Linked DNA regions of Oryctolagus cuniculus. The protein of the gene in region 1 purifies or fractionates together with the protein of each later gene. This does not show direct contact. Links are inferred from orthologs where the notes say so. Each region holds a gene or a part of one and is shown on either strand. Other genes may lie near its edges.

Region 1 (7,360 bases):
TATTTTTATCATACTTCTTTATTTAAAAAATTGGAGTGCCTACAACTCTTCAGCATACATAAGTCTGCAGTGAGGAATTAACTTTTGTTGCCAGTGAAAGTGCAAGCATGACAGCCATATCACTGAACCCTTGCGAGAGAGTCCTTAAAAGGTCATAATTATCATCCCCATTTTACAGACTAGAAAACTAAGACTTGGGAATGTAAGGTCAAGGTCACATAGCCAAGACTCAAACCTAGGTCTGTTTGGTTTCTACGCCTGTGTTCCTTCTACCACACTGAAATGGGATTAAAATACCCAGACCAACCCAAGTGTGCCCAGATGAAATGCACACAATCTGCTCTTATTCTGAAAGTGGAGCAAGTGTTCCAAGCAAAAATTACAGGCAGCCACAAGCGAAGCCTTTGGACAAGAACAATGGAGACTACCTTCCCTTTCCCTATTAAGGTGTTCAGAACTGTTTCTCCTCTACCCAGAGCTTAGGAAGGTCGGAGCTAACTCCACACTATTCAGAGGACTCCGTAATGCCCTGATGATTACGAAGCAGAGCCCAATCCTCCCTCTGAAAAACCTTGGCCACAAAACACAGCACTATCCCCCCAAATCGACTGCTATATAAAAAAACTAAGAGGTAAATGAACTTCATTAATCACCATGTCCCCGTGAAGAGCCGTTTTATGGTGTATTTCGTCTTGCAGTAGGCAACATTAAGGGTTAAGCTACGGTCTGAAGGTGTAGTTCACTTCGTTATCTAACTGGAAATCAGACTTAGTAACTAGCTCAGACTCCGGAGGGCGGCTGCGGAGTCAGAGAAGCGGGGGGGACCCCGGACACCGACTGGGGACTATAGATTTACCAAGCAGGGGGGAAAGCCACTTTTGGGGAGGGGGGCACTTCCATCTTCCCATTCAAAACACAGTTTCTCGTGTGCTGAGCTTGGGGGAGACCTCAGGATACAGAGGTCTGAAATAAAGAGCCGGGTGGGCATTATTCGCTCAGCCACGGGCACCCTGTTTCCCACTGGGACAGGAGAGTGAACGCGGAGCGTGGCATTCCCGCATCCACCGCGCAGAGATCTGCCATTCCGCCCAAGGTCACACCTATGGCAAACGGGAAAGGGGACTCACGCCCGGGTCCGACCGGCACACCTGGGGGCAGACTGAGGCACGCGGGCCCACGACCTCTGCTCCGCACCCTGCGGGGCGACACTCCCACACCGCGGCGCGCGGGGCCCACGGCGGCGCGGCGAGGCGAGGCTCTCCCGCGGCTGCCGGCGTGGAGGCGGCCAGATGTGGAGGCCGGGGCCGGGCTGCAGCGGCGCCACAGAGAGAGAGGTCCGGAAGGGCGCCGCCTGCACGCCTCCCGCGGTCGGGGGAGCCGCGGGATGACAGAAGGTGAAACGCAGAGGGCGGACAGGGGCTGGCGCTGCGGGATGTCGCCAGCAGCACAGGTACCGGCGGGTCTCTGAAAGGCGCCTTTTGGAGGGAGGAGAAAAGGTCTCGTGGGGGAGCCAGGCTGGGGCCATTACCTGCCGGGTGGTTGTACAACGGTCTCAGTTTCTCGGGCAGCATCAGCTCCACTTTATCCAGGAGCCGGTGGTAGGTGGCCCGCAGGCCTCGGGCGCCGGCGGCTGACATGTCGGCCGCCGAGTGATCGCGGGCAGCCGGATGGGAGCGTTGCTGTGTCCTCGCTCCTGGCTGACAACGAAGGGCAGCTCGTCCCTCTCCCTTGCCACAGCGCCTCGCGTCCGCTTTCCACCAGGGTGCCCTTCGCCGCGGCTCGCTTGCCCCCGGGCAAACCAGCCAGCGGCCCGCGCCCGGAGAGGGCTCAGGGGGCGGAGGCTGCGGGACAGCCCGCCCAGGCCCGCCTCCTGCCCTCCGCGGAGGGAGCGGGAGGAGGAGTCATGGCAACAGGTGTCAGAGGGATTGCCTCACCGAGGCCGCCCAGCGCCCCGCCGGCAGCGCGCTTGCGCAGGAGGAGCGGCCCGCCGCGATTGGCTCGCCCCGCCGTGTGGGCGGGGCCGAGCGGGCCCCTCCGCCTTCTCCTTCCTGCCCTCGAAGCCATGTTGGAGTAGGGAAAGTGAAGCTGCACTCGCTCTCTCATGCCCCATCGCTCGGACTATTGGAGGCCCGTAGTTAAAATGGGCTTTTCGGGCCTTCCGTGCCCCAACTAAAGATGACGCCGCACATCAGCTCTTGGCTTCCTTTGACCCGAGACGCGTGAACGAGACTACACCTCCCAGCGGCTTCTTTCTCTACTGCTCTTCCATCCATAGAGAATTAAGAGCTTGGCTAGAGTGGCCTGAAGCCCCTTTTCCTGGGTGAGGGCAGCCGTGACGCACCGCGGCCTCAATCTCGGGGGTGGTCGTTATCTCGCGAGAACGGCTGGGCGGGGCGGGCGTTCACAGGAGGAGAGGGCGGAGCCCGGCCGCCGCCGCCTCCGCCTCCGCCTCCGCCTCCTGGGGGAGGGGGGCCGAGGGAGGGGACTGTTGCTGATCTCTGGATGTTCTGGGTAGTCTGAGGAGGAGAGTATGAGGGGAGCTCCGGCCCGGGCGCGGCCGGGCTTCGGGGGCTGAGGCGCCGCTGCCACCGCCGCCGCCATCTGACTCGCTGCGCCCGCGAGCCCCGGCGCGCGGATGGTGCCGGTGCGGCTCGGGTGTTGATCCGCCTGTCCCCTCCCCCCTCTTCCCCTCCCCCACGCGGTGGTCTCCCCTTCGACCCCGGCCCCGGCAGAGCCATGTCTCGGGGCGGCTCCTGCCCACACCTGTTGTGGGATGTGAGGAAAAGGTCCCTCGGGCTGGAGGACCCGTCCCGGCTGCGGAGCCGCTACCTGGGTGAGCGGGGGCCCTGGGGCGGAGGCGCCGAGGTCGCCGCCCCGCGGTGGGGGAGGGGGCGCGCCGCCGGGGCTGTTGGAGGTGGGACAGCCCCTCGGCACGGGCGCCCCCGGGGATCGGGGGTGCGGAGTGGGCCCCCCACCCCCTTAGGCGCGTGCCTCCTGCGGTCGAGCCCCCGCTTGCAAGCTGCCAGCCGCCGCCCTTGCTGGGTTTCGCTGGGGAAGCTCGGGCCGGGGGCAGACGGTAGTGGCCTGGGGAAGGGGTCGCGGTCGCTCGCGGGCTGGGACTCGGGAGCAGCCCCCGGTGGAAGCTGGCGGAGCGCAAAGTTGGCGCCTTCGCTGTTCTGCAGCGCTCTTCCCCGGCTCGGGCGGCGGGACCCAAGTTGTTGCTGCCCACGCTCCTTGCGGGCTCCCGAGGGCTTCGGCGTCGCCCGTCCTCGGACCGCCTGCTCCGGGCAGAGCCGGGCAGAGCCGCGCCGAGCGCTCCCCGCCCCCGCGCGCCTCCCGGGGCCACTTGCACTGGAGTTCGTTTCGACCGCTTTAAGGTGGTGTAGGGTTTCGCGTTCCTGTTCCCACCCCTGGAAAACACACTTGGCATTTACTGTTTCTTAGTTAAGCTTTCTAAAAACAACCTCCAATACTTGAGAGAACGCTATTCCACTTTTTCGGTGCTTGTTTTGGACAGCACGGTGCTGGGAGGATTCTGGGTCGCGCCCGAGTCGACTGGGGAGTCCAGTAGCTTCCAAATGGACTCACTTACAGTGAGGGAGTCTGTTTATTTATGTGTGTGTTTGTTTCTTTTTAAATCTGGGCATAAGGCAAACAACGTCAAATAAGATCTTTTTCTTTCCAATTTTATCACTTCTTGCTAAGTAAAAGTATTTTTTACTGTGTTTGACTTCAAAAGCGAATGGAGAATAGGAGAAAATGAAATCTCACAGCCTGCAGTTCTGTTTTGTCAGTTATTTGAGAGAAATTATCATGTAATGTAAACATCCTTTCTGGTTTGCTGAGTGACATGAGCACGTAAAAAACATGATCAAAATCCCCCTGCGCCCTTCCATTCTGATTTCACACACCTACCCTGCAGGTCATGTCTCTGTTCCCTGAATAATCTTCCAGATCTTGTCCTTTGTATTCTTAAAGCACAGAGAATGTGTGTGTGTGTGTGTGTGACACAGACCTGACCTGAAGGTGTGTGTGTGTGTGTGTGTGTGACACAGACCTGACCTGATGGGGTGTGTGTGTGTGGTGTGTGAGAGAGAGACAGACCTGACCTGATGGGGTGTGTGTGTTTGTGTGTGTGACAGACCTGACCTGATGGGGGGTGTGTGTGTGTGTGTGTGTGTGAGAGACAGACCTGACCTGATGGTGTGTGTGTGTGTGTGAGTGAGACAGACCTGACCTGATGGGGTGTGTGTGTGTGTGTGTGTGTGTGAGACAGACCTGACCTGATGGGGTGTGTGTGTGTGTGTGTGAGAGATAGACCTGACCTGATGGTGTGTGTGTGTGTGTGTGTGTGAGACAGACCTGACCTGATGGGGTGTGTGTGTGTGTGTATCAGGCCTGACCTGATGGTGTGTGTGTGTGTGACAGACCTGACCTGATGGGGTGTGTGTGTGTGTGTGTGTGTGTGTGAGAGAGACAGACCTGACCTGATGGTGTTCTGTTGTAAGCATTGCTTTGCCACTTGCTTTTTTTTTTTTAACACTACATATTAGAGATCCTTCCATGGCAGTAAAAATAGATCCAGTCTTTTTAAGTTATCACAAAGTATAGGATGATGTTTTAAAATGGAATTAAAAAATAATCTTGGTACAGATTTTTTTAAAATTTTTTAAAGATTTATTTGTTTGGCAGAGTTACAGAGGGAACATCCATCCCCAGGTAAATTCCCCAAAAGGCGAAAACTGCCAGGGCTGGGCCAGGCTGAAGCCAGGAGCCAGGAGCTGGGAACTTCTGGATCTCCCACGTGGGTTGCCAGGCCCAAGCACTTGGGCCATCTCACCCTGCTTCCCCGGTGGGTTAGCAGGGAGCTAGATCGGAAGTGGACCACCAGGGACTGGAGCTGGTGCCCATCTGAGAGGACAACACTGCAGAGGGTGCCTTAACCTGAGCGGATTTTTTAAACTAAAAGATTTTTATTATGGTGCAAAATGAAATCCATGGTATGAGGTGTCTTCAGCAACTTCATGAAAAATGCATATTATGAAAAAAGTAACATGGATTTCAAGTTTCTTGTAACAAAATAAACATTTATTTTTGACAGGTTGAGACAGATCTAGCTCCCTTCTGCTGGTTCATTCCCCAAAAGCCCACAGAAGCCCCCGCTGGGTCAGGCCAAAGCCAGGAGTGGGGATTTAATCTAGCTCCTTCTGAGTGGCAACTCTTTGACCTGTGGTCTGCGTTAGTGGGAAGCTGGAACTGGAACTGGAACCCAAGGTGCTTCCATATTGGACACTGGTGTTTTAACTACCAACTCAAATGCCTGCCCAAAGCCTGCCTTTAAAAATAAAATTTCAAGTCCAAGGATTTTAGGCAGTACACACATTTCTTTTTTAAACATTTCAACATTTACATAATGCAATTGCTAAGCATTGTTGGTTAAATGTAATCCTGATGTATTTGTTTGCATTTCTAATAATGAATTACTGCTAAATAACAATACAATTCAGATAGATGAATAGGCAGATTTTCCTGGTAATATTTGCATTTTAAATTTTTTCACCATTAGTATGCATCTTTTGGGTAGTACAGGTTGAGCACCCATAATCTTTTTTTTTAAAGATTTATTTATTTATTTGAAAGTCATTTACACAGAGAGGAGAGGCAGAGAGAGAGAGAAAGAGAGAGAGAGGTCTTCCATCTGCTGGTTCACTCCCCAATTGGCTGCAACACCTGAGCTGCACCGATCTGAAGCCAGGAGCTTCTTCCGGCTCTCCCTCATGGGTGCAGGGACCCAAGGACTTGGGCCATCTTCTACTGCCTTCCCAGGCCGTAGCAGAGAGCTGGATTGGAAGTGGAGCAACCAGGACTAGAACAAACACCCATATGGGATGCCTGCGCTTCAGGCCAGGGTGTTAACCCGCTAAACCAGCCCTGGCCCTACCCCTAATCTTTAAATCCGAAATGTTCTAGAATCTGATAGTGTGTGTGATATTGATGCTCAGAAATTTTCCTTAGATTTTGGATTAGGGATACTCAGTGGGTAAAGCATGTTCCAGAATTCGAAAAACTGAAATTGGAAACACTGTTGGTCCTAAGCATTTCAGATAAGGATGTGCAGTTCACGATTTGTAATTGATTTTACTTAAATTGATTAAATACTTTCTTTTACATCAAACAAAATTATGGTTTATAAAATATCTTTTCATGTTGTGGGAAAGGATTTGAATAGTTTGTCATTTACCAGAAAGATGTATGTGTTTACTTACAACTCTGAAATTTACAAGATTCACCCTTTCTGGTGTTATTTTGGACTAGCATGGATTTAGAAGCTAGGCTAAGGATTGTAGGCTTTATGAACCTGATCTGAATTCCAGTGTGTGTTTCTAAATTTTCTTTCAGGAACTGCCCAAGTCCAGAGTTAGAGACACCTTCCTGTATGTTTGTTGGACTTACTCTAGTACTGTAAACCGGCTTTAGAGTGGTGGTTTTGGAATTCAGTGATTGTTATATTAACTTATTAGTACACATTTCATTTCCATTCTGTAAACAGTTTTAAAAAGATACTTTTTTTTTTTTTTTTAAGATTTATTTATTCGAAAGGCAGAGTTAGAGCTTTTCCATCGACTGGTTCACTCTCCAAATGGCTCCAGTGACCAGGGCTGGACTGGGCTGGAGCCAGGGGCTTCTTGTAGGTCTTACACTTGAGGGCAAGGGCCAAAGCACTTTGGCCATCCTCTGCTGCTTTCCCAGACAACCGGAAGGTGGAGGTAGAGCAGCTGGGACACAGACCTGCTCTGCCCCAATGCCTGCTCCAGGTAAACATTCAGGATAAAAGATACTGTTACTTCAGTACATTTCCTGTTTCTATTCCTGTTTCTTTCCTTTAGGACAGACTTGCCTACAACTTGAAATTACACTTTCTAACCCTTCTAAATTAAAAGATGTAATTGACAAAGTGATTTTAAGGAACTTAAAGAGAATTGTTTGTTATAATGTACAATAAAATAAAATGCTTAAATTTTCATTAGCCAGTGACAATTTTTTGTTGGTGACTGGAATGTCTTTTTGTTTGGAGTTTAGGAACTGTATCCTTTGAACATCATTAGAAATCAGTATGTATTGAAATGGATAATTTTGTGTTTAGATTACTCTTTTTTTATTTTTTATTTTATTTTGACAGAGTGGACAGTGAGAGAGACAGAGAGAAAGGTCTTCCTTTACCTCCAGTGGCCGCCGCGGCCGGTGCACCGCGCTGATCCGATGGCAGGAGCCAGGTGCTTCTCCTGGTCTCCCATGTGGGTGCAGGGCCCAAGGACCTGGGCCATTCTCCACTGCACTCCTGGGCCTAGCAGAGAGCTGG
Region 2 (7,498 bases), on another chromosome or scaffold:
GGGCCGTGGTGCAGCTGGAGAAGTCACCACTGCAGGTGCCCGCGATCCCTTACCGAGTGCCGGTTCCGATCCTGGTTCCTGCTAGAGCGACCTGGAAGGCGGCAGATGGTGGCTCCAGTGCTCGGGCCCCTGCCACCCACCGGGGGAGACCCGCGTGGAGTTCCAGGCTGCTGGCTTCAGCCCGGCCCAGGCCTGGCTGTGGTGAGCGTTTGGGGAAGGAACCAGCAGATGGAGATCTCTGTCTCTCTGCGTCATTCTGCCTTTCAGTTGGAGAGAGTGAATGAAGTCCTGGATTGTTAGAGCAGGAGGGAGCCTCAGGAACCTGAGGCCTGTGCCAGGCCACAGCGTCAGAACTAGGAGAGCTTCTCTTTCTCTCTCTCTCTCTCTTTTTTTTTTTTTTTTTAAATTTTTTTAAGTGCTAGACTCAAGCCTCAGCAAGGCAAATCTGAGTCTCTCTCACTCTCTTTATTTTTATTTTTATTTTTATTAATTTGACAGGTAGAGTTATAGACAATGAGAGAGAGACAGAGAGATAGGTCTTCCTTCCATTGGTTCACTCCCTAAATGGCTGCTAAGGCTGGCCAGGAGCCAGGTGCTTTCTCCTGGTCTCCCATGTGGGTGCCGGGCCCTAGCACTTGGGTCATCCTCCACTGCACTCCCGGGCCACAGCAGAGAGCTGGACTGGAAGAGGAGCAACTGGGACTAGAACCTGGCGCCCATATGGGATGCTGGTGCCACAGGCGGAGGATTAACCAAGTGAGCCACAGCGCCGACCCCTCTTTTTAAATTAAAAAAAAAAAAGATTAATGAATTTATTTACTTATTTGAAAGGGAGGGAGGGGAAGGGGGGAGAGAGAGAGAGAGAGAGAGAATCTTTCCACTGGTTCCCAGGGCCAAGCAGAAGCCAGGAACTCCATCTCTGTCTCCCACCTGGATGACAGGACCCCAAGCACTTGGGCCATCTTCCGCTGCTTTCCTGGGTGCATTAGTAGGAAACTGGATCAGAAGTGGAGAAGCGAGGGCTGGAACAGGCACTGGCTATGGATGCCGGCGGGCAAGCGGTGACTTAACCGCAGGCCTCCCCTCTAGGCCGTCTCCTGATGCGCTGTGTTCTCCAGCATTCTTGGACTCTGGGTGCATGTTTCTCCCCGAGAGATGACCGCCTACCTTCTGTGTGGGTAGCCTTGCTGGCAGGAAGCTCAATACCTCTTGAGGCCATCTTTGTCCATTAATGGTCAACCGTGACTGCTTGGAAGTTTCCTCATATTGAATCAGATGCCTTTCGGCTCACTTACTCCTATGTAAAGTCCATTTTTATTGAACACCTGCTAAGTGCCTACAGTTGAGTGCTGGGCAAGTGATGGTGATCAGCCAGGGTCTCTGGTCTGTGGAACTCAGGACAGGTGGTGATTACCAAGCATGTTCTGTGCTATGATTAGGAAATGACTGGAGACCACTGTAGACTCTCGGAGCCAGGCTGTAGGGGAAGAAGAACCCTGCAGGAAGTTTTGTCAAGGCCAAGAGCAGCAACAGCCAAGCGGACAGATGAAGAGAGGGAAAAATGAGAGCTTCTGGCAGGAAAAACAAAAACAAAAACAAAAAAAACCAGCATGGCCAGGGCTGCTGGTTTATCAAGGATGGTGTTTGGGGCAGTGTTTGAGCACTTAAGGGTGGGGAGGGGGGACGAGTTGTGATTAGAGGGGCGGATAGGAGCTTCCACGCTAAGGAGTCTGCACTTTGTCTATTTCCCTGAAGAAATGGAGGAACAAATTATGAACAAGTGATTGCTGTTCGACTCTCTGTTCTAAGAGGACCAAGTGCTTCCCGTGTGTCCCGACTGGGATCCCCTGGCTATCACCCCTCGGCCCTCTGCCTGGCTGGGGGAAGCCTTATTTAGCCCGGCCTGGCGCTGCTGAGCTTTCCTTGGGAATGTCTATGTGTAGGGGGAGGGGCGGCCCAGTTGCCACTGTCCATCTGCCCTCCTTGGTGTCCAGCCCCCATTGCCTGGCTCCCACACCGCCCTCGGTTGTCCTAGTGCTTTCTGGTGATTTCTGGTCACATGGCCATATGACCGTGAGCCTTGTCTGCTCCCCAGCACCCAGCCTAGGCTCTGGCCTCTCAGAGTGGGTGGGCTTGCCTTGGACTTCACCTGCCGGGGACCAGACTTCACTGCCCCTTTGCCTTCTGCCTAACCCACTGCCCAAGTCAGCGGATCACAGACACCCTTTTCCTGGGGCGGGGACTCTGAGAGAGCACTCTGCTTTGGATGCCTCCTCCTCCTCCGAGGGCTCCTCTATTCCTCTGGACGGTTCTCCTGGGTGGGCTCCCCCAAGTCGGGATTAACAGGAATCATCAACAGGACTACGGCTTTTATGATTCACAAAAATTAGCCCCAGTGAAATGGGGATAATAATAGCTGCTACCTCATAGGACGCACACCAGGCGAGATCCTGTGGTTGAAATGTCTGGCCCAGTGTGGCCCATCCTGGAGGTTCAACCAGTGGTGCCTAAGTACCGCTTTCCCCTCCTGAGCCCTGCCCCTCACTGTAGTTCGGAGACAGGACATTGTACTTGCCAAGCACCCACCCTGTGGGTCTGGCACAAGCTAGATGACTTAGAGACCTGAGCATCCTTCTGCCATGGTCTGACTGCCATGTCACCAATGAGGATACTGGGCTCAGAGCGGCTGCTTTACCCGCCCAAGGTCACACACCTTGCCGAGGCAGGGACCTGGACCTTGGGACTTCAAGGCTTGTGCTGTTCCCGTTCTACCATGCTGCGTCACTTGTCACTGTTCCGATCCTCCTCCTCCATCTTGGAGCCAGTGTGCTTCCTGGGGTGGGGGGTGGGGCTCTAAGGCGGCGGAGCAGGGTGGGGCCTCCTCCCAAGAATCTGGGACGTCAAGGCTTGCCACCTGCTCAGGGGCTTAAATTTCTCTGCAAGGGCCCTTGGCTAAATTAGGTAATGGGCTAGGACTCTGGGAGGGGTGGGGCTTGCTGACCCCAGGATCTGATTGGGCAGGGTATCCATTCCTGGGGAGCAGGGGGGTGGGAGGACAGGATGCCCCTACAAATCCCGGGGGCTGGAGTGGGCCACTGCGTCTGTGCGTGGTGGAGTTCAGGGGAGGCGGCTCACGGCAGGGGTGGCCCAGTGACCAGCAACCATGGTAAGGACATGAAGGGACTCTGCTCTGCTGGCTGGGGGCACTTCTAGACCTCTTTCAAGCAGATCTGGGTGTTCTGTGGGGTGGGAACTTAGATGCTTGATGGGGGGCGAGAAGGTTGTGGAACACAGGTGTTCAGAGGAAGCCTGGGAAGTCCTTTGACTTCTCTTGGTTGGGGAGGGCTGGATGTCCCAGGGATTGGTCCTGCGGCCACTGTGCTGCCCACTGCGGAGGCTTCCAGCAGTGCTAGGCACAGAGCTCCGGGAGGTCTTATCCCATCTCCTTTATGGTGGTGACAGACCCCCAGGGGCTGCAGTGAGTTCCCCAGGGAGCCAGTGGTGGGGGGTGGGGGATGGGCTGGAAGCCTGGCCAAACCCTCCTGCTGTCAGTGAGAGAAGAAAGCCAGCTCCTAGGAAGATGGGAGGCCCACAGGGCCCCACGCCAACTCCAAGAGCCCTGAGGATGACGGAAGGGGCAGGAGACAGCAGTCGGAGGGACCCCCACCTCCCCGGGAGGGGTTTTGATTTGGGACTGAGGTTCCCCCTCCAGAGATCACTTCAAGGAGTAACTGGACCCCAGAGGCCAGCTGCTGCTGCCCATGCCCTGCTAAAAATAGCCTGCCCTCCTGGCACAGGCGGAGAGGAGGGCAAGAAAGAGGGGGAGAAACAGGAGGCCCAGGGCCAGGGCCCAGAACTGCTTGTCCATCTCACCCCTGCCTCACTGCCAGCCCCAGACTAGAGCCCCCAACCCGGATGGCCTGGCCCGGATGGGTCGTGGACGGCTCATTTTCACGCCACCCTCCGCCTAGCCTGAGGGCCGTGCACTCCAATGCCTGCTTGGCACCTCCACGCATGTGCCCCTGTCAGCCGGGGGTCCCCGTGTCTGGGCTGTGGCCTGACACTTAGCTAGTGCTCAGTACTCTGGGTTGCGTCATTACTGCACCCTGGAGCGGTGCAGGTACCTTGCAAAGCCCCTTTCCCGCCTCCGATTTCATCTCAGCCCCGAAAAGCCACTGAGAGGAGACCAGGGCGTGACCTGCGGCTTCCCCAAAGTCCCCAGGGGGCAGGGTGTGTGTTGGGGGGCTGGGTTGTGCCTGACTTGGCCCTACAAGTATTGCCGAATGAGGACCTCTGACCTAATCTGGGTCTCCGCTCTTGTCAGGTGCCGTGGGGACACACAGGTGGGACAGGTTTCCTGACGGAGGAGGGCGCTACACAGGGCGGGGTCGAGGTGGGACTGGGTGAGCAGGGTGGTCCTCCTGTGCTCTGACCCTGTGTCTCCTGCAGACGGACCAGCAGGCTGAGGCCCGGTCCTACCTCAGCGAGGAGATGATCGCTGGTGAGTGCAGGGTGGGGTGAGGGTGTGTGTGCAAGGGGGCGTGTGGGAGGGTGACATGTGCCAGGGCACATGTGTGGGGTCTGGGCAGCAGTGGGGGTGGGTGTGAGCCTGGCAGGCCAGCCCACCTCACCTCAGCTCTCCCCTCCACCCCCCTGCAGAGTTCAAGGCCGCCTTCGACATGTTTGATGCTGATGGCGGTGGTGACATCAGCGTCAAGGAGTTGGGCACAGTCATGAGGATGCTGGGCCAGACACCCACCAAAGAGGAGCTGGACGCCATCATCGAGGAGGTGGATGAGGATGGTGAGCGGGCAGCCCCGCCCAGGTCAGGGCCGCGGGGGCGCGAGGTGGGCCCGGGGCGGCGCTCAGTGCCTGCCCTGCGCCCGCAGGCAGCGGCACCATCGACTTCGAGGAGTTCTTGGTCATGATGGTGCGCCAGATGAAAGAGGACGCCAAGGGCAAGAGCGAGGAGGAGCTGGCCGAGTGCTTCCGCATCTTCGACAGGTGCGCGGGGTGGGGGAGCGCGGGGCGCGCGGGGCGGGGGGGCTCTCCCACGGGCACAGCACGGGAATGCCTGGGGGGTGCGGGTGCGCGAGGGGCGCGTGCAGCGACGCCCGGGCAGCTGCTGAGCCCTGTCCCGGCCCTCGGCCCCGAAGGAACGCAGACGGCTACATCGACGCCGAGGAGCTGGCTGAGATTTTCAGGGCCTCTGGGGAGCACGTGACGGACGAGGAGATCGAATCCCTGATGAAGGACGGGGACAAGAACAACGACGGCCGCATTGACTTCGACGGTGAGCGCCCGGCAGTCGCGGGCCGGCGTCGGGGGCGTGGCAGGCCTCGGCCCCGCGGGTGGGGCTGGGCGTGGACCGAGCGGAGCCGCCCCCAGCCCCCGCGGGCGGGCGGGTGGGCAGTGCTGGCGCTGAGCCTCGCCCTTGCTTTCCTGCAGAGTTCCTGAAGATGATGGAGGGCGTGCAGTAAGGCTGGGGTCTCAGCCTCGGCCCCGCCGGCTCGTTCCCTGCCCCGCGCAGGGGGCGCGGCCCCTTCTGGCTCCGTGTCTGGAAGGAATAAAAGCAAACGTTGCCAAGCTCATGGCCTGAGTGAGGGGCGGGCCGGGGCTGCGGGGAGCGGGATGCGGCGGGGGCCACGGGGGGCTTCGGGCCGAGGGAGAGGGGGTGGAGCCCCCTGCCTGCCCCATCGCCCATGCGTTCCCGAGCCTCTGAGCGTGGGTGTCAGGCTCGCCGTCGTGGGCCGGCTCCCGGGCCGGGAGCGGGGCGACGGCAGCGTTTTCTGCGAGCCCGCTCGGTCTGGTCCGTTCTTCCAGCGCTTGCGGGGCACCCGGCGCTGGCAGCGGAGAGGGGGCAGCAGCTCCTCCCCGGGGGGCCCCCGCCACGGGCCGACCGCCGACCGCGAGAACCAGCTCCCGGGAACCTGACCGGGCCGCGCCCCCGCTGAACGTCCTGCAGGACCCCTCGGGGCCTCCAGAATCCAATCCAGATGCCTCGCTCTGGGCTCCCTCACTCCTCCCGCCGCCGCTCCTGCGTTTGCCGGCCTCTGGGCCCTTGCACGCTGCTGTTCCCGCTCCCTGCAATGCTCTTCCCCTTATGATCCTGGCAAATTCTTCAACCCACGAGGCCCAACGCGGAGACCATCTCCCCCCTTGATCCCTGCACCCACAAGCTGCAGATCTGGCTCCCATGGTGCTTTGCACACAATTCTGCATAGCAGGGATCAGGTCGTAGCTAATTGAGTGTAGTAGTTGTTGAACTTTAGAGTCAGGCTCTCTGAATTTGTATCCTCACAGTAAACGACTTGGGACCTCAGTATTTTTATCCGTAAAATGGGGCAATGATCATACTTACCTTAGAGGGTTTCAAGAACAAGTTGGTATGTGCAAGGTGCTTAGAACAGTGCCAGGCACACAGCAAGTGTTTAATTAATGCTGTCCACCATTATCCTCCTCCTCCTCCCTGAAACTCTGTCCTGTTTTTTGTCTTTTTTTTTTTTTTAAAGATTTATTTATTTGAAAGAGTTACACAGAGAGAAGGAGAGGTAGAGACAGAGAGAGGTCTTCCCTCCATTGGTTCACTCCCCAAATGGCCGCAATGGCCGGAGCTGCGTTGATCCAAAGCCAGGAGCCAGGAGCTTCTTCCGGGTCTCCTATGTGTGTGCAGGGGCCCAAGGACTTGGACCATCTTCTACTGCTTTCCCAGGCCACAGCAGAGAGCTGGATCGGAAGAGGAGCAGCCAGGACTCGAACCGGTGCCCACATGGGATACCGGCGCTTCAGGCCAGGGCGTTAACGTGCTGTGCCACAGGGCCGGCCCCTGTCCTGCTGTTTTACGCATTGCTACCTGCCACTCCCTCCATCTTGGACCTAGTCTCTGCTTTGTCCTGTTGCTGATTTCCCGGTTTGCTGTTCCAGCCAGGGTTGGTGCTGGGATTCCAGCACCGTCATGGCTGTGCCTTGTGCCTTATGCACTTGGTCTGGGTCATCCACACGGCGCATCCAGAGGCAGATGCTGCTCTTATCCCCGTTTTGCAGTTGTGGGAACTCAGGCCCAGGGAGGTGAAGTAGAGCAGCCCACAGATAACAGCCTGGATGGGGCCCAGCACAGGGACTCTGGTGCTCACCCCCCCCCCCCCCCCCACACACACATACACCCTCTGCTTCCTGTCTCCTTACCCTGCTTCATCCTCCTCTCTGTGCCCACTGGGCACTGCCCCTGGACCACCACCCCCCGAGCCACTGTCCCCTGGGCCACCATCCCCCGGGCCACAGCCCCCAGACCACCACCACCACCCGGGCCATCACCCCCCAGGCCAAACACTGGCCCCCAAGTAAGACTGCTCTGAAAACGAATCTGGTCACATCACTGTCCTGCCCAAGGCTTCATTCTTTGAATGTTGCCCTCAAGATAAGTGTCTGCACTTTAATGTGGCCTGAAACGCCCACTGAGGCCCACCATCCCTCCCCTTCTCCCTACACCCATGAACAC
Region 3 (7,598 bases), on another chromosome or scaffold:
GAGCCAGGTGCTTTTTCTGGTCTCCCATGGGGTGCAGGGCCCAAGCACCTGGGCCATCCTCCACTGCACTCCCGGGCCACAGCAGAGAGCTGGCCTGGAAGAGGGGCAACCGGGACAGAATCCGGCGCCCCAACCGGGACTAGAACCCGGTGTGCCGGCACCGCTAGGCGGAGGATTAGCCTAGTGAGCCGCGGCGCCGGCCTAAACATTTCAAATTTAAAGACTTATTTGTAAGCAAAAAAATCTCCAAATCTGAGCCTCAGACTATACTGCTAGGCTACAACCTGCTGCTCCTATCTGGGCACAGGAGATAAGACAAACATGCAGAGCAAAAAAAAGAAAAAAAGTGGCAAAATGCTACAAATAAAGAGGTAGACTAAAGGATGTGAAGGACATCTGCATGTCTTGAGGCTTTTCTTAAAAGAGAGAAACAACTAAGCAAGAATTATCATAACAGAAGAGTGACAGGTCTCCAGAAATCACTTTGGGATCTACCCTACAAGATTCCATTATGGGTAAAAATGTCAATTATATCAACGTGTACCAAACTGAAACTTAATTAGGAGTGTCCAGGTCATACTGGTATAAGTTCAATTTATACCACTCATACTATAAGGTGGGCTTATAACCAATATGACTGTACTCAGTTTATGAGTATATGGTCTGATTGTAAAAAGGAGTGCATCAAGAAATTGTAATTAGAAAAGAGGCAAAAGTGTATTTAAGGCCCTATTTCAGAAAGTAAATCCAAATTATCTCACCTCAATTTATGTTAATGAAATCTAGTTATCACATTAATACATACCTGGTAGAGTTCTTCTAAATTGTACTTAATTGAAGTACTATTCTGAATAGCTTCCACTGCTTCTTTCAGTTTCTGCCAAGTTTCATCTGTGTAGTTTTCTGGTAATTTAGGCTTATCTAGATGATATATAAAAGGTTGGCATTAAAACAACATATAGAATATAGCAACTGAAGGTCCACAAAATACAATTACATTACTGTTTTTAAAGTAAACTGTGATCTTTATAACTATTACACTTAAATGTTAAAGCAACCACTGTATTAAGAGCTCAGTATAAAGAAACAGTATTCTAATATTTCAAATTTTATTGGTCACTTTAACTCACCTATTAAAACTGAAGGTGAGGGTTTTTTTCTCCTACTGAACGTATTGCTTCAAAAAATAAAAATTCAAGAATGACAGATAAAAAGTAACAATCCTGACCTTATTTCATCATGTGTAAAACCTAAGTCAACATGAATTTTGTACCTGAGATTTAAAATATTGTATGTCTACTATGTGCAAGGAATTTTATAAACCCCTTTACCATCCTAACAATGCCCTAGGCTAAGTATCAAAACTGAGGAATCCAAGGATGGAAAGCATTTGGTAAGTTTGCCCAAGGTCACTGTAACTAGTCAACGGCAAGTCTGGCATTCTAATCCTGGTCTTTTTGATCCCCAAATTTATGCAGAAACTACAGAAATGGAGAAAAACATTTTAACTCAGGTTTTAAACTACATTTATGAGTAGAATGAAATTTTAAAAGAAATTCAAATATCCAAATGACTCCAGAAACTATGCAGCATTTTCTAAATAGAAAGAAACACTGAAATGCTAGGCTTTTACACTTCACTGGCCATCAATGAGTGGAAAAAAACTTTTAATTAAAGCATTGAAATGCCTTAATAATGTGTTTTAATTTTTTTGGAGGAAGAAAAAAACAAAATTTCTTAAATCAATTTTCAGAAGCAATTAGGATCACAGCTCACTTCTTATAAAAATCTTGGCTATTAAGCAAAATATTTCAGCTAAATAATGAACACATTAGTCAATTACAATTCATATTCACTTCAGAAAGCAGAAAGCTTTACTCTTAAGTCAGAATATAACACTCTTCAAGAGTCTGCAAATGGGAGAGAAGTGATATAAAAAGAAAGGGTTAAAAATAAACAACACCATATCTCTCTGCTTGAAATAAAAGAGTATATTCTTTATTTTTACACTAATGTTGAAAATACAGATAGTGAACACCTAATTTTTCCGATACTAGTATTAAGCCCCAAGGCACTTATGCAGTAAATATTACTTAAGTTCATTCATTTACTTCTCCATTTAATAATCATTTTTGCACTTATTACCTGCCAGTTAAAGGTGTTGAATAAGTGAGCCAGAAAAATAGAACACATTCAACAGATACAAATTAATTCAGCTGAATACATTTTTTTTAAAACTTGATTTTGTATTAGCATCAATGCGTTCATAATACTTTCAATCACCTATCAAAGACAATATTAACAAATTTTCCTAAAAGCTTTAGGGCAATACTTTAAAACTCGTTTTAGTGATAAAAAAAATAGATGTAGTAACTGTACCTATCTTTAGACTAGTGGTACACAGAGTTACAACTTCTGTGTATACCCAGTATTTTTCAATTCTAACCCCTATCTTTGGTAAGATATGTAGAGACCATAAATATTTTCTCTGAATACTGCTTCTGCAATGAGTTTCATAAATACAGTATTCAACAATCTAAGTCCTATTTGAGCATGGAAAGATCACCATTGCTACCTGCTTTTCTGGGGACTGGATAATGTGGCCTACTGAAGCACAAAAATACAAATCCCAGCAGTGCCAAGGCTCACTATGCACCTGAAATAAACAAACCTCTTTAGAACATAAATTTCTCACCTGTAAAATCCGGATCAATCATACTGTAGATACCCAATGTTATAAGGGACAACAAATTAAATATAACAGGTTGAGGAAAACCTCAAAATACTGCACAGAAACACGGGGTGTATGCCTCAGCACAAGGTTCCTAACCACCCCCCTGGCAAATGAACCCTCCACCAAAAAAAGGACCTCCCCTCCACCTCATTAATTACGCATAAAACATTAGCTACCTCTATGCTCTTTAATATAGTAACATAAATAGAGCACGTGACCGCTGAAGTGTCAAATCTTTAGTAGGTGATTATGAATTTTGGCTTTGGTTACCTTTAAAGTTCTTGATCACTAACTTCTTAGCAGAGCCAGGCTTGCTGTTAGCAAAGCTAGAGACGGTGGTAGATTTGGCTAGGCCGTTTGCATGATGCACCGAAGCCACAGAAGAGATTAATATACTCTTATTTTTAAGTTGCTGCTGCTGAGATGTTGCAGCAGTTGGTGAAGATGAGGAGGAGGAGGAGGAGGATTCCTCAGCCATCTTCGCATCAAACCCTACAAACTCCAGGGTGTCTTCAAAACGCAGCTTCTTCTGTATCGGTACGTGGCTGGAAGTAGCCACCGAAACCCCCAGGCAGAAGGACGAGGTTGAAGGGGATGCCGAATCCCTGGGTTGTAAAGGAGGAGTGGAAGAGGAGGAAGAGGTGGAATCAAAGTCTTCTCTCTCGTTACTACTGTTACTGCCGCTACTGCTGCTGCTGTTTAACTTTCTCTTCTTGGCAGAGGTGGGCGGAGTGGTGCTGGTATTACCATCAGTGGCAGATCTGACCTCCTGAGCAGCAGCAGCAGCTGAGGGATTGGGGGAAGAAAAACCTGTTGGAAACATGAAAATAGCGGGGTCAACAGGCAGAGGAGCATCAAAAACCTACAGTTTATATGCCTGCGTGCGTGTAGGAGAAGGTGGCAATGCTAGAGGGGGAAGGGAAGAGAGGAGAAACACAGAGGACGAGCAGGAAAGTGAAGGGGGGGCTACACCGGGGAAATGGGAGGGTTTGGGAAGGCGGATAGGCTGACACCAGGAGTGAGCAGAACGAGGGGGGAGAGTGAATGAAGCGGCAGACAGGTAAACGGCCGTGCCGTCCCCCTCCCCTGCTTTTCGAGCTCTCTCCCCCCCGTTTCTGCAGGAGCGAGTCTGAGTCTGAGGCTGTAGCTCCTCCTCCTTTTCTCCCTCTCTCTGGGAGGGGAGACGCTGTGGTGGTGGGGGGGGAGGGGGAGAAGAGACCCAGGGCTTGTTATTGTCAATAGCACAAGAGGCTAAAGATGGCGCCACTTCCGGTCACGCGGCGCCGAAGGAGGGGCGGCGTCTGTCCCCGGAGTGGGGGTTGGAGAAGAGCACCGCAGCCGCCCAGGGGGGCAGGGGAGCTGGCGCACAGCGGGATGGCGGGACAGGGGCAGCTGAAGCGCCTCAGAGGCTCGCACTACTCTGCTCCGGCTCTCGCTCCCTCTTCCCTTCCCCGGCAGTACCTCCCTCCTCCGGCCCATCGGTAACTCCCATCCCTCCGTAACGGTCCCGCGGGGAGCTTTGCGCCGCGGCGTTCTTACCGGAAGTGACTGGGCAGACACTTTTCATAGCGCCCAGCTCCCGAAGCCCCCGAGTCCGCAGGACTTGAGTGGGGGGTGGGGAGGGAGCAAAGGGGGGGAAGAGAAGTGGAGAGGGAGGAGGGGGCGGGCCTTCGAAACACCTTCGGGGCTTCTGATTGGCGCTTTATGAACGCGAGGCGGGCGGCCACGGTGGGGGGTGACGGGAGAAGGAGCGGGAAGGATCCTGAAGGGGAGGGAAGGTGGTGACGGTGAGGGGCGGGGTAAGCTAGCTGGGAAAAAGGGGGAGGCGGAAGAGGAAGGGAGAGGGAGGGAAGGAGTAAAAAGTAAGGGAAGGAGAGAATGGAAACTTTGAAAGAGATAAAGGAATTAGGAGGGGTTGCCAGGCGAAGAGACTAACCCGAAATGGAAGAAAACAAATCTTGTCATTATGCCTACTGATGTTACAATATTGTTAGAAGAAAAGGAGCTTACATAGAAAAAGAATTTGATTCAGTGTAGCTATAAATTATTTATGTCAAGGACACCACAGAGCCAAAATTGAATAGAGCCAGAGTTTTGATACTTTTCTCAATAGCGTATGTGTAAGTTCTTTTACTTCTTACCAGGAGCATTTTCTAAGATGGCTGGCCAGAGCCAAGGGTGTATTCTAAGGCAAAGAAATAGGAAGGTAGCTAAGTCCTGACCCAGTGCAATTCTTGGAACCACATGCTATCCCGACTTCATCAGCCATGAATTCAGTAATTTATAGACCAAACAAAAAGCTAAGACCTACTTCCTTTGATGAAGTCTCAGCTTCTACAGTGTTTCAAAGGAGACATTTTAGGAGAACAATATTGGCAAAAGTCATGTTTTCTACTAATGTATTCCAGGAGCAAAAACTTTAAATTTGATCGCCGATCAAACAAAACTTGATGTTTGGTTAAATTAACAATAACAAACCCTGTAAGTTCCCTAAGGTAGTTTTTAACCGTAGAACACTCTCAGGGGGAGCAAACAATAATTTTTTCAACCTGTTGATCTAACTACAGAAACTTTTAATGAACATGTATCCGGAGACTTTATGTGCCAGACACTATGCCAAGTCCCTGCCATTGAGAAGCCAGTGGGGGAAGACAGAAGGGTACTACACAAAGCTCATAAAAAAAATGGGATTAAAAGATAAATTTATTTGGGCAAACAGAAAAATTTCAAAATTCATGAATGGTTTCCACATAGTATGCATTTTCCATAAATTTTTTAAGTACTCTTCTAGTTTCAAAATTAATGTCCATAAAAGTACTTTTAACAAATGTACAAAGTGCTGTGGCAAGAGGCAAAACAAGAAATTTGAAGGAACTCTGGAAAAATCAGGGAGTTTGAGAGACACATTTGTGCTGAGTCTCAAAGTGGGAGCTGCCAATAAGACAAGGAAGAGAGTGAAAGGCATTCTGGGCAGTGGAAACATGCACAAAGCAGGGAGTTGTGAAAGGGCCTGGCATGTTTATGGAAACATGGCAACTGCAGTGAGACTGGAAAACAGGATGTCTGGTTGGGACTAAGAAAGATGAGGCTCAAAAGTGCCTAGTAAACCAAGCCAAGAATTTTGGAATCTATCCTGTAGGTTATGTTAGATAGCATGAGACAAGCAAACTGGGCTTTTAAAACAAGGGAGTGGCAAGATTATAGGAGTAGTAAAAGCAGATTGTGTGGTATGGCCTGATTGGTGAATCAGGCCATACCACATAAATCAACTTTGTAACTTTCTTTAAACACTCCCCCCCCCCCTTTTTGGTCTTGAAAAGTCCTTGTAGATTCTCCTGGAAAGGGAGTTCCTTGAGCATTATCAGCCAGTATCTTTGTACTGTTCCAGGATAGCTTGCTGAAAACAGGCTCTAAAGGAATTTTGGCCCCAGGGCCTAGGAAGGGAGGAAAAAAACCCTGAAAGGGGGCAGATGGAAGCACTTTCAAATACACCATACTGTTTTGCTGCCCAAAATGAGATGGTAAGCTTTGAAGGCCAGGGAAGGTGTCCTAAAACATTAAGCCTTTGCTGTGTCTCACATTTCAGACAATGCTGAATAACCTTGTAAATGAAAAATAGAAACTTACTGAATTGACTGTTTCACTGAATGAGGATAAAATAATGCTGTGTGTAAGGGACAAGGTTATTCTAGTTTATGTAAATTCCTTAGGTCTAGAGAAATGCTTGGTATTTTAAAATTATGAGTATCAGTGCTGAAAGGGAATGGACATAAAGATAAGAGAAAGCTGCTTTTGTCATACAAAGATAAACTTTTATACTAACTTGAGGGATATTTGAGGTCTATTTATATTCAACTACATTCTAGTAATAATGGCTCCCAATCTCACATGGTTATCTAAGCCTTCAGTCTTCTGAGTTACATCTTAGTTTTATGAGCACAAATCCTTGGCTCTTGAGCTCTGGCTCACTTGAATGGCCCAGTGGTCTAACCTACTATTTAAGTTCTCCATAAAACAGCATTGGATTTTGTGGAAAAAGTAATTTTTCTTTTTTCCTAAATGATTAATAATAATCTCCCTTTGTCATTTTACAAACTCATTTTATTTTGAACCAGGTCAATCCTCAGATAGGTAATTTTAATACTTTTACATTTTATGACACCGACCATCTTAGATTATTTCTATGCAATTTGTGAGAACTGAAATTTTGCTTTTTCTTGGGCCCTCGGGCCAATTTCTAAAGGACAAAAAAAACCTCCCATGTTACTTTGTAAAGATTTTTTACATCAAGAATCAACTATTTGTAGCTAGTTGTAAGTTTATATTCTGTACACCCAAACATTGCCAAACAATGTTAAACACATTCTCAATATTAAAATACATTTTTCAAGGTTGAACTCACTATAATCAAGATGTATAATGTGGGACACCATACAGTTATAGCCATTATCAGACTAAATCAGATTGGGCACTCAACACATGTTCCATATATAGAATCTTTCGAGCTGGCGCCGTGGCTCAATAGGCTAATCCTCCACCTTGCGGCGCCGGCACACCGGGTTCTAGTCCCGGTTGGGGCGCCGGATTCTGTCCCGGTTGCCCCTCTTCCAGGCCAGCTCTCTGCTATGGCCAGGGAGTGCAGTGGAGGACGGCCCAGGTGCTTGGGCCCTGCACCCCATGGGAGACCAGGAAAAGCACCTGGCTCCTGGCTCCTGCCAGGATCAGCGCGGTGCGCCGGCTGCAGCGGCGGCCATTGGAGGGTGAACCAGCGGCAAAGGAAGACCTTTCTCTCTCTGTCTCTCTCTCTCACTGTCCACTCTGCCTGTAAAAAAAAAAAAAAAAAAAAAAAAAAAAAAAAGAATCT

The links. Proteins that work in one complex are often made in the same cells at the same time.
Region 2: the proteins of DCAF6 (region 1) and TNNC2 purify together in Homo sapiens (affinity purification with mass spectrometry; 3 studies listed by BioGRID and IntAct, with this or other methods). This does not show direct contact. The link is inferred for Oryctolagus cuniculus from reciprocal best matches to the Homo sapiens genes DCAF6 and TNNC2.
Region 3: the proteins of DCAF6 (region 1) and CUL4B purify together in Homo sapiens (affinity purification with mass spectrometry; 6 studies listed by BioGRID and IntAct, with this or other methods). This does not show direct contact. The link is inferred for Oryctolagus cuniculus from reciprocal best matches to the Homo sapiens genes DCAF6 and CUL4B.

The regions. Positions count from the first base shown.
Region 1 is NC_091438.1:30,791,230-30,798,589, reverse strand, and holds the start of DCAF6 (DDB1- and CUL4-associated factor 6), read left to right. Parts: upstream 1-2,392; 5' UTR 2,393-2,736; coding exon 2,737-2,833; intron 2,834-7,360. Other genes in the region: MPC2 (mitochondrial pyruvate carrier 2), read right to left, coding at 1,529-1,637. UniProt on the Homo sapiens protein: Ligand-dependent coactivator of nuclear receptors. Enhance transcriptional activity of the nuclear receptors NR3C1 and AR. May function as a substrate receptor for CUL4-DDB1 E3 ubiquitin-protein ligase complex.
Region 2 is NC_091442.1:13,565,584-13,573,081, forward strand, and holds TNNC2 (troponin C, skeletal muscle), read left to right. Parts: upstream 1-3,108; 5' UTR 3,109-3,163; coding exon 3,164-3,166; intron 3,167-4,449; coding exon 4,450-4,501; intron 4,502-4,659; coding exon 4,660-4,803; intron 4,804-4,889; coding exon 4,890-5,004; intron 5,005-5,156; coding exon 5,157-5,293; intron 5,294-5,448; coding exon 5,449-5,480; 3' UTR 5,481-5,584; downstream 5,585-7,498. UniProt on the Homo sapiens protein: Troponin is the central regulatory protein of striated muscle contraction. Tn consists of three components: Tn-I which is the inhibitor of actomyosin ATPase, Tn-T which contains the binding site for tropomyosin and Tn-C.
Region 3 is NC_091453.1:98,286,004-98,293,601, forward strand, and holds the start of CUL4B (cullin-4B), read right to left. Parts: upstream 4,391-7,598; 5' UTR 4,302-4,390; coding exon 4,196-4,301; intron 3,545-4,195; coding exon 3,005-3,544; intron 922-3,004; coding exon 806-921; intron 1-805.